Linked DNA regions of Kluyveromyces lactis. The protein of the gene in region 1 interacts with the protein of each later gene in a pairwise test. Links are inferred from orthologs where the notes say so. Each region holds a gene or a part of one and is shown on either strand. Other genes may lie near its edges.

Region 1 (4,415 bases):
TCACATAGACAGTATACTGGTGGCACAATTGTAGGTACCAACGACAAAGGGAGCTTTCAGCAATAAAGGCATACTTAACCACCCGTGGGTAAACCTTAGTGTAAACCAAACTCAGAGAAGACCGTGAAGTTCTAATTACACTTGGGACAACTTTTTGCTCAACAGTATCCTTCACATGGATAACTGCTGATCCCACACGAGGAACTACCACTGTTTCGTACTTTGCCACAAGCGAGTCGGAGTACTTTATCACTTGTGGGAATCTACCACCTATTATGGCACGGTAATGCTGCGGAGCAGTATATTTGCATATTTGTAATTCTCCAGATGTATAGTTGTCGCATGAGTATCTAACGGACCCAAAGGCAAGTAGCAAGACCAGCAACGCCTTGAGCAACTTTGAAACGAGTCTCATATGGAACCTCAGCCTACTAACACGCTAATAGATCAGTGTCCTTGCTACGACTACTTTCTAACCTGACGGATTAGTGATCTGTAATCAGTACTTTACGAACCATAGCTGGTCTTCCATATTATAAATACAAAATGTTACTGAATGGGGTTGGATGTGTTGTCATTTTGACGATTATGTAAACGTAAAAAAAGATAAACAGAAACAAGAACACAGATTGAGAAAAAAAAAAAAAACAACAAAATCAACGACCAATTCCAAGTCACGTGACAAGAACATCCATTATAATTAGGGAAACGCATGCATTTTGGTTGTTTTCTTGGGTAAAGAAGGAGGAGAAGGAGTGAGAAAACAGCCTCTCACAGATCATTCTTCACGATCCTATAATCGAGCAAGGACTACCACTATGAGAAGGGAACGGCAAGCACACCACAGAGAATAAGCTCGTTTACTGGGTCGCCCCGGTCCAAACTGCTGATACGTATATATTCGGATCTATCCATTGCAAGAGCAAGTAATCTACTTGTGCCTAATTAGTGTTGTGTCGTGTGCCTTTTATTCGTCTTTGGAAATTGGCTTACCTTAGAAAGATGTCCATATTGTACATCATTTGTATGTCAAATGCTTATCGTGTATATAGCAAGGTATGTAGCATGTATATAGGATGTATATATCAATTACAGTATGAGAATATAGTTGGACTATTGCGAATAACTACGGATTCCCGTTATTTTATGCTAAATGTGGATGCCCACCCTTTGGTAGATCCGCGCCCAAAACTACCCATTCTCTATGAAACTGTAGCAGTTCGTTTTCTTATTCGGTTTTGTATTAGATTTTTTTTGGGCATTTTGGAAATTACTAACTTAAATAATTAAGAATTGAATATTAAGAAATATTCTCATTTTGGCATAAAGGAAGCTAGGAAAAAACAGGAGAGGAGAGTAAAGCAAGACGTCAAACCCATATACTCTTTCTCGAACCTTTGAACCCCATAATCTGAAGCTAGCGGACCTCAGCTTGCGTTTTATATCGTGTGTTTTCCTCATTAAAAGAAAGCTAAGCAGCTGTGATGTCGTTCTGGCCGTTCGGACAGAACTTCAATAGTTCCAACATCAATGGAATTTTGGAGGAGTATTTCCATGTTATGCATGGATTGGAGAACCAAACTCAGAAGATAGCTGGATCCAAGAGTAACAACAGTAGTACTGTTGGGACTTTAGGAGCTACTGCCGGTGCAGCAGCTCCCGTGGCAGTTACGGACGATAACGATCTTAATGAGACCAAGACAACAACGACAACCTATAATAATGATACTAAAAGAATTAATGACAATCACGAGAAGAAGGAAAATGCAAAGAAAAAGAAGAGGCAAGGATTTGCAATGGGATTTGAAGACCGGGATAAGGATAGTGATGTGATCATCGGAGACTCAAACGATTCTGATCGTTTGGAGCACAATGTCGATTCTCACACTACTGATTTCATCGATAGTTCCAAGAATACTATTGATACTTCACCAGGAAGCTCGCAGCATAATCCTCGACCTTCTCTAATACCTACTCCTAGACGATTCAACGGTACCAGTGATATTGAATCAACGCCGCTAAAATCAGCTGCCTCTTCCCATCCCGACTCCTTATCCACTACTACAACTTCGTCCAGTTCCGCTTCTCATCTAAGTGACGAAGAAGGACCGATCCCCTTGCAAGCCTTAAGTCATAAGTTCATGGATGAGATCTTGGAAGAAACAGAACTTTTGAACGAACTAACAAGACAAAACAATACCCTTTTGGATTTTGTTTGTTTTGGATATTTTTACACGGAAACTGGTGACAAGGTAGAAAATATTGCATACTTGATCGACCGGTTATTGGATTGCATTGATAAGATAGACGACGATAACGACTCCGCCAATTTGGATACTGTTGGTGGAAATGATAATGTTAACGAGCTTGATGATGATGACAATATCAATGAAGAACATCGCATAGAAAACAGAGACGGCAGTATAAATGATGAAGGCAATAACAACGCTGTACAAAACATTAGAGAGAGTGCTACAATTGGCAGTAACGATAGTGGTAGGGGGGAAACTCACAATCAAGGCGACGATAATGAAGATGAAGATATAGATACATTTGGCAACAGCAAAGGTAGTTTTGAAAATCCACATGAATTTACATCCTCACCTCATGATGACTCCATAATACCTATGTTAGACTCCAAGCTGAAGAAAAAATCGACGTTTCTCAACAAAGCCAATATTATTTCTGAAATATTTGCATTAGATATCTGGCTAATTAGCGAATCTCTCGTGAAAAATACTGAATATTTGAATAAAATTTGGTCCATTTTATACCATCCTAAATTCACCCAAGAGAAATCGCCACTTATTCCAATATTTTTGAAGATAAATCAAAATCTCCTTCTCACAAGACAAGACCAGTATTTAAACTTTATCAGGACAAGAGATAACTTAGTCATTGATATGTTAAAACATATTGATATCTCTCTCTTGATGGATTTTTTCCTCAAAATTGTTGCTACTGATAAACAAGAGGCTCCCACTGGGATTATTGAACTAGTCTCAGAACAAAAACTTATCGACCATTTATTCGCATTTCTTGTCAATGAAAAATATTCAGCAGACATTCAAGCATGTGCAGGAGATTTCATTAAATCAATAATAGCAGTATCTGCTAACGCCCCATTGGATGAAATGTCCATCGGACCCAATGCTTTGACAAGAGAAATTGCATCTGAAAAATGCATTGATTATTTACTAGGTTGTATTATCAACGAAAGAGGACCGGCTTTAATGACTGCAGTATCCATTACTATTGAACTGATAAGAAAAAACAATTCTGATTACGATCAAGTAAACCTTTTGACTACGACTATCAAAAGTCATCCTCCTTCAATGAGAGATCCAGTTTATTTGGGAGTCATGTTGAGAAAATTTTCTGAAAACCTTGTCAATTTGAAGCAGATATTATTCGATATAGAAAATGATGCTAGTATCCCTATAATAAAGAATCAAATGGGAGAAAGTTACAAACCACTTGGATTTGAAAGGTTCAAAGTCGTTGAGCTTATTGCAGAATTATTACATTGTTCTAATATGGGATTAATGAACTCTAAGAAAGCAGAAAGAATAGTAAAAGAACGTGATCAGGTAAGAACGGAACTAGTTCAACAGTTAGAAGACGCATTGACAGACCTCAATATCAAATCAAAATTAACTGCTGATAATCACAATTCTGATTCTCCTACAGAACTGAGTCTTGATGACGATATTGACGAATCCTTCGAAGTCCCTTATGTTAATGATAACCAGAATGCAAAACTTCGGTCCAATCCGACTATTGGTGATTTATTCAAGATTGAACTTTACAATTCTCAACTACTCCCTATCATTATTCAACTTTTCATAAAATATCCATGGAATAACTTCTGGCATAACGTTATATTCGACATAATACAGCAAATTTTCAATGGAAGGATGGATTTTTCATACAATTCATTTTTAGTCTATGCTCTTTTCAGCAACAAAAATGCTGAACGTTTTGCTACAGATAAAACTTTAGATGATGCTCCGATTGATTTCCAAATAACTCGGGATTTGGTATTGCTAGGTTATAGAAACTCGCATAAATTTTACGAGAAACACAATACCACCCTAGGTTTCATGGGTCACCTAGTATTAATTGCTGAGGAAATCGTAAAATTCTCTAAAGTGTACAAAGTTGATTTAATCTCACCGGATATACATGAGGTTTTATTGGATGAAGATTGGGACTTCTACTCAAACGATATTCTCAATGATACAAGAATTATGTATTCAAAAATTTTAGGAGGAGGTGATTATATTGAGGACGGTAATTTAAATGGTGGTGATATCGTTATGGGTAATGATCAGGATCCAACCAGCTTTTCTACACAAATGGATCTCCACGATAAATTAAGAGAGAAATTGATAGAGAAAAGCCGTCAAGAGGTG
Region 2 (3,162 bases), on another chromosome or scaffold:
CTGGGGACCTACGTCAAGCAATATATTGCATGGAAGAAGTCATAATTGGGGTGCCGTTCAGTTATGAAGCATTTGGTCAATTAGCTTATTTGCATTACTTGAAGTCTCAATCAGATTCTGACCCTGAAGCTGCTTTGCAATCAAGTTTATCAAATGCGTTGAGATCTGTTGAGTTGGCAGAAGCCTACGTGAAAGGTTGGGGTATTGTATTGAAGACATCTCAGAAACTGAATAAAAAACCTGAATTAACTCAATTAGCTGTAAGAAAATTGCAAGAACTTCAGCAAAATAATGATAACAGAGAAATCACTAACGTATCCAGATACCTTTTGGATTCAGAAACTTGAATAGTGTGTATATAATATTATCACATGTATTACGAGATTTGTATATTATTCCTTTTGGGTAACATAATTAAATAGGTAGATTCATGAATGAGCAAATCAACTCTTTCTTGAATTTTCCAAAAGTGCTGTCAATTCGACAGTAGCGGTGAGTGCTTATTCGACAACTTCTTCTATATCTTCTTTTTTCCTCAATACTTCACATACGCGCTCCTTCAAAGGTAATACAGACGCAACCCAGTTGCTGTCTCTCAAAGATTTCTTAGGATCGTTTGAATTTAATCTACATTTATTCAATACTGTCTTGTAATCATCCTCCATATATTTCCATTCCCGTACAACAAGGTCCTCATTGAATTCGACATATATTCTTGTATCAATGATTTTAAACAAGACCTCATCGACTCTTAGGAAGAATCTGCATAATAAAAGAAGTCTCTCTGCCATTACCCTAAGTTTTATCGAAAGCATACTGATACCGTTGTCTGCCAATTCATCTTCAAATAGAATGAAATCATCATAGAATAAAATGGGATCTCTTCTTGTTAATTTTTCTATTGGAAGCTGATACTGGTTATCCACAACAAACTTGTATTCACTATCTTCTGACACAGTCCCATTGTATAAAGTCGTATAGGACCAATCCCAATGTTTTCCGAATTGTAATCCTTCCTCTGTGTTTGTCACTTGACTATTCTTAAGTTTGGAATTGATCCATTTCTCGGAATATGACACTCTTAACCCAGAATCCCCAAGTTTTACTTGACTAAGTGCATGGAACGGATTGAATCGTATGCACCAATGAGTCTTGGTGTTCTTCAATTCAACGCTGGAATGACCAAAAATCATTTCTGGGATTGGGAACTTCAATTTCTCAGTCCAATCGTCGATCTCATCACTAGAAAGAATAGGCCTCTTCGTCGTGGTGATAGTCCAATCACCTACACTTACAGATGGGTCATCTTTCGCTGGTATTGTGGCTACAGGGGATGGAACAATGACTGTACCGCAATGGCCACAATTTGGATTATTCGGATTATTCGATCTATGTGGGTGTGTATGAGTGTGCTTATGATCATGTTCGTGAGAGCGCTTGGAGCTCGGTTTGGGCATGCTAGTGGCTACTGTAACCGACTGTGTATCTTGGAAACTTGAGTTCGTGGTGGTACCACCGACAGTAGTATTGGTCGTGCGCATCATAGAACTTTGTATCTCGGTTTCTCTTGGCTGCTGCGGATTGCCGGGGTGACGCGCCCTTACCGTAGCCTGAAACATTTCACGAGCCTGGTTAACCTGTATCATAGGAATACCGCTCCCAAGAGATCTTCTGTTCCTGGCATTGTTCTGAGGCTGACTCTTATCACTCATTTTGGCATGTGTATTTCCCCTGATCGCTCAGATTCCTGTCGTATAATAAAACTAGTGAAATTAATCCCTATGCAAATTTTCTTGGCTATTAGCGTGAGAACAAAATGACGTTCAACGCTTGTAATCCAGTGGGAATATTAATTAGTTTGAAGTTTTATCAGGGGCTGAAACAATGATCGTAGTCCTTTTTGCAACGTTTCCTTTCCACCACAAATCTTCAATTAAGAGATGTCTTGCATGCTGGAATATTGATTCTTATAAATCTCAATATCAATAGAAAAAAGGTTACAGTCGAAAAATATTGGAAGATCGTAAAAGTAGTAAGGAATGTATTAATACGTGATTGACACCTTAGTGTAACAATATGGGAACAAAGTTATCTACCGAGGAGCCGTACATACACCTTACAGAGTTGTTATCCCTCTGCTATTCTCTATTATTTCTAAAAGCATACTTTCCTTGATCAGATTGAACAACGGATATGTCAATCAAGCTAAAGGTAGGACTGCATAAGCAGCGGATCGTTACAATAACTACGCTTCTAATGATAGGCTTGCTATGGTTTACATTTTCTAATAGCCAGCTACCTATTGAGGGGTCACCATCGTTGGGTGGTACCAAATCCGATCTGTTTGGAGGACTAAGTGCGAACGCGAAGAACGATGATGCATCAGGTACGATTATGCCGAAGATGCCTGATCAGGAGGCGAAAAAGGCTTTGGGGCGGGCTTCATGGAAATATTTCCACACTCTTTTAGCCAGATTTCCCGACGAGCCTACAGAGCAAGAGAAAACGAAACTACGTGAATTTCTTTACCTATATGCGGAGTTATATCCATGTGGCGAATGTTCTTACCATTTCGTCAAGATGTTGAAGAAATACCCACCACAAGTAGCCAGTAGAACCACTGCTGCTTTATGGGGCTGTCATATTCATAATCTAGTGAACGATCATCTTGAAAAACCAAGGTACGATTGTAACACAATCTTAGAAGATTACGACTGTGGATGCACTGACGAGAACGGTAATATCGATCCATCTTTGAAAATGAACAAAGTAACGTTGAACAAAGAGGAGAAACAATTGGGATGAAGTGAGGGAATCGTTTACCCTCCGTATGTGTCAATTGAAAGAATAAGATCTAATATTGTTGCATTCGCATTTCGTTTTATCTAAATATATATGTAACTAATAAGCATAGAGAGTATACGGCAGCAATATTTTTATCATCACATTATGGTACAACAGGCACTCGTTTCCTCGTGAGATCTAGCAAAATTGTTCTTCCTCATAGTATTATTATATGGGTTTTCACCAACCATTGGGTAACCCCATACTTCTGGAACAGCGTAATCCTTATGGGTTGAGGTATAGTCGATTATGGACAAACAAGCATTTGACGCAGTCATTCTTTCCCTTGCTAGCTCATTTCTTAATTTATTATTCAAT
Region 3 (2,788 bases), on another chromosome or scaffold:
TACGAACTCCTAGCCACATTACCCGACTCTATTGCGAAACAGAACAACAGGAGAAGATTGTTGAAGTTTTTAGTTCCATGTGGTATCATTATCAGCAAGTTGCCAGATTTCAACAAGTTATCTCAATGGGACCCTATCCTAGCACAGAAATACACAGCTCTTGTGATTGCCGTTAAAAACGGAAACTTGAACAGAGTAAACTTCTGGCTTTACGAGAACGAATCGTGGCTGAAATCATCTAAATTGTTGATTGTTCTATTGGAAAAGCTACCCATTATAACGTTCAGATCCCTTTTGCGATCTATTTTCCTATACTACTGTATACCGCGCAATTCAAATAAACTACCATACTCTGTGATAAGACCAATTCTAGCAAAATCCATCGGTTTATATCCACCTGAAATGCCATCGATATATAAAGACAATTACACCGCAGAATCACTTGAAAATATCCTTGTCACACTTTCAATTCAACAATTGTGGAAGGGAAATGTGTTTCCAAGCCTGCAAGTGTGCGTTACGATGAAGACTAACGATATCTCAGTAATCTTCCCTAATATCAATGAAAAGATCGTCTCTAGATTTTCGTTGAACCAGGAAGATTCCTGGCTCGATAAGTAAATGATAGATAATATACATATAGTATGTAAAAATAGATGACACAGCCCCTCCTAACCTGATTCGGGTCCCACTATCATACCCAGTCGTGAAACACTTTTGGAAGACTCAATTTTTACAGACATGTCTATATAGATATAAGAATGCTCTCACATATATCTGTTTGTCTTCCAGGTCACATTCTGCAAAAAAAAGTAAGAAATTGAAGAGAAGTTGAAATTTTGTTGAAGTTTCCATTATTTTTGTAAAAGGACTGATGATTACAACAGAAAACAAAGAGAGAAGGAAACATCCTTATAGCTAACTACTTTGTTAACAAGCTTTTAGCCATCAACAAAGAGTAGTGATATAGGGCTGTTCTTTGTTTGAGCTATTGAATTTTCCTATAGTGAGTGAGTGTTTCTTGTTGAAAAGAAAAGGTGCAAGAAATACTTCCAAACACAGGTTTTAAGCTTGTTGTGGTTTTTATTTACAAGAACGCTAATCATAATCACTTTACAAGAAATTCAGAAGGAATTTATCCCAATTTTTTCACAGGTAAGGACTGGGTTTTATTATAATTATTATTTTTTTTATTGACCTTTGAACTTTATCTTCCCTTGTAAAGGTTAATTTGCCATTGCATAAGTTCATCTATCTATAGAGCGTTTTGTCTCCGGAGTGCTAAAATATCACAATGTCAGATAATGGGCCAGATTTGTGGCTTGAGAAGATCAAGAAATGTCAGGCTTTGACGGAGTCTGAGATGAAACAGCTATGCGAGATGATGAAGGAACTCTTAATGGAAGAATCGAATATTCAGCCGGTTCAATCGCCGGTGACTGTTTGTGGTGATATTCACGGACAATTTCATGACCTTTTAGAACTATTCAGAACTGCTGGTGGGTTTCCTGATCAAGTAAACTATATTTTTCTTGGTGACTATGTAGATCGTGGTTATTACAGTTTGGAGACGTTCACACTTCTTATGTGTTTGAAAGTGAAATATCCTTCCAGAATTACTTTGGTTAGAGGAAATCATGAGTCGAGGCAAATTACACAAGTTTATGGGTTTTATGAGGAATGTTTAAATAAGTATGGTTCCACAACGGTTTGGAAGTATTGTTGTCAAGTGTTTGATTTCTTAACTTTGGCAGCTATTATTGACGGGAAAATTTTATGTGTGCATGGTGGTTTGTCTCCCGAGATTAGAATGCTTGATCAGATCAGAGTTCTATCGAGAGCCCAAGAAGTTCCTCATGAAGGTGGCTTCTCCGATTTGTTATGGAGTGACCCCGACAACGTGGAAGCATGGCAAGTCTCACCTCGTGGTGCCGGATGGTTGTTCGGTAGCAAAGTCTCACGAGAATTTAATCATGTGAATGGCCTAAGCCTAATCGCAAGAGCTCACCAGCTAGTTATGGAAGGATTCAAATACCATTTTCCGGAGAAGGATGTTGTAACGGTATGGTCTGCACCTAATTATTGTTATCGATGTGGTAATGTGGCGAGTGTCATGAAAGTCGAAGATGATTTAGATCCAACATTCAAAATTTTTTCCGCTGTACCTGACGATTACATCCAAGAAACAAACAATAATAACCAAAGAGGTGGATATTTCTTATAGAGCGACATTGCAGCGGCCTTTTTGTCTGTATAATCTTCTATGCGAACTTACATCGGACTAAACATTCTTTTTCTCCTTCTATTTGAGAATTCCTTCTTAATATACTGTACACTAGAAATCAAACATTTACCTAACTTTTACGAATTCAAAGATATCCATCAGGAATTAGGATTTAATTGGAAAGTGGACTATAAACAACGTAATTTTTAATGGGTTGAAATCATTACTGAGAAACCAACCCCCCTGAAACTTAAATAGTCTAAAACCCGGTAATATATATAGATATATGTATTAATGATAACGTTTAAACTGCCATTATGTCTTTCACGAGGCTTCACAGAGTCCTGATCTAATCCAAACTAGATCATCGAATATATTCAATTTGATATGGAATCATATATAGAATATCGTGTGTAGAATAGGTTTTTTTTTTTCTTACCAGTATCTCTTCAGCTCCAAAGCTGCATTGAAATATTTAAAATTTCAAGAGCATTTTATACAAAAAATGTAGCCATATGATTGCACTTATAACTTTCATAAATGATGTGATACCAACAAAACGCA

What was found.
Region 2: the proteins of KLLA0_A01155g (region 1) and TIP41 interact in binary tests that used the Saccharomyces cerevisiae proteins (3 or more experiments, as listed by UniProt). The link is inferred for Kluyveromyces lactis from reciprocal best matches to the Saccharomyces cerevisiae genes SAP155 and TIP41.
Region 3: the proteins of KLLA0_A01155g (region 1) and SIT4 interact in binary tests that used the Saccharomyces cerevisiae proteins (3 or more experiments, as listed by UniProt). The link is inferred for Kluyveromyces lactis from reciprocal best matches to the Saccharomyces cerevisiae genes SAP155 and SIT4.

Annotation. Positions count from the first base shown.
Region 1 is NC_006037.1:104,738-109,152, reverse strand, and holds the start of KLLA0_A01155g (SAPS family protein), read left to right. Parts: upstream 1-1,484; coding exon 1,485-4,415. Other genes in the region: KLLA0_A01177g (uncharacterized protein), read right to left, coding at 1-415. UniProt on the Saccharomyces cerevisiae protein: Positive regulator of protein phosphatase SIT4. Involved in directing expression of TOR-repressed genes and in dephosphorylation of NPR1 in response to nutrient starvation. Negatively modulates K(+) efflux of the cell by the Na(+)-K(+)/H(+) antiporter NHA1.
Region 2 is NC_006041.1:554,927-558,088, forward strand, and holds TIP41 (Tip41p), read right to left. Parts: upstream 1,713-3,162; coding exon 501-1,712; downstream 1-500. Other genes in the region: EMC2 (Emc2p), read left to right, coding at 1-347; ERV2 (flavin-linked sulfhydryl oxidase), read left to right, coding at 2,194-2,805; STE18 (Ste18p), read right to left, coding at 2,943-3,162. UniProt on the Saccharomyces cerevisiae protein: Involved in negative regulation of the TOR signaling pathway in response to type of available nitrogen source. Indirectly activates the PP2A phosphatase SIT4 via interaction with its suppressor TAP42.
Region 3 is NC_006040.1:313,679-316,466, reverse strand, and holds SIT4 (type 2A-related serine/threonine-protein phosphatase SIT4), read left to right. Parts: upstream 1-1,294; coding exon 1,295-2,224; downstream 2,225-2,788. Other genes in the region: THP1 (Thp1p), read left to right, coding at 1-621. UniProt on the Saccharomyces cerevisiae protein: Involved in the dephosphorylation of the large subunit of RNA polymerase II. Is required in late G1 for normal G1 cyclin expression, bud initiation and expression of certain genes that are periodically expressed during late G1.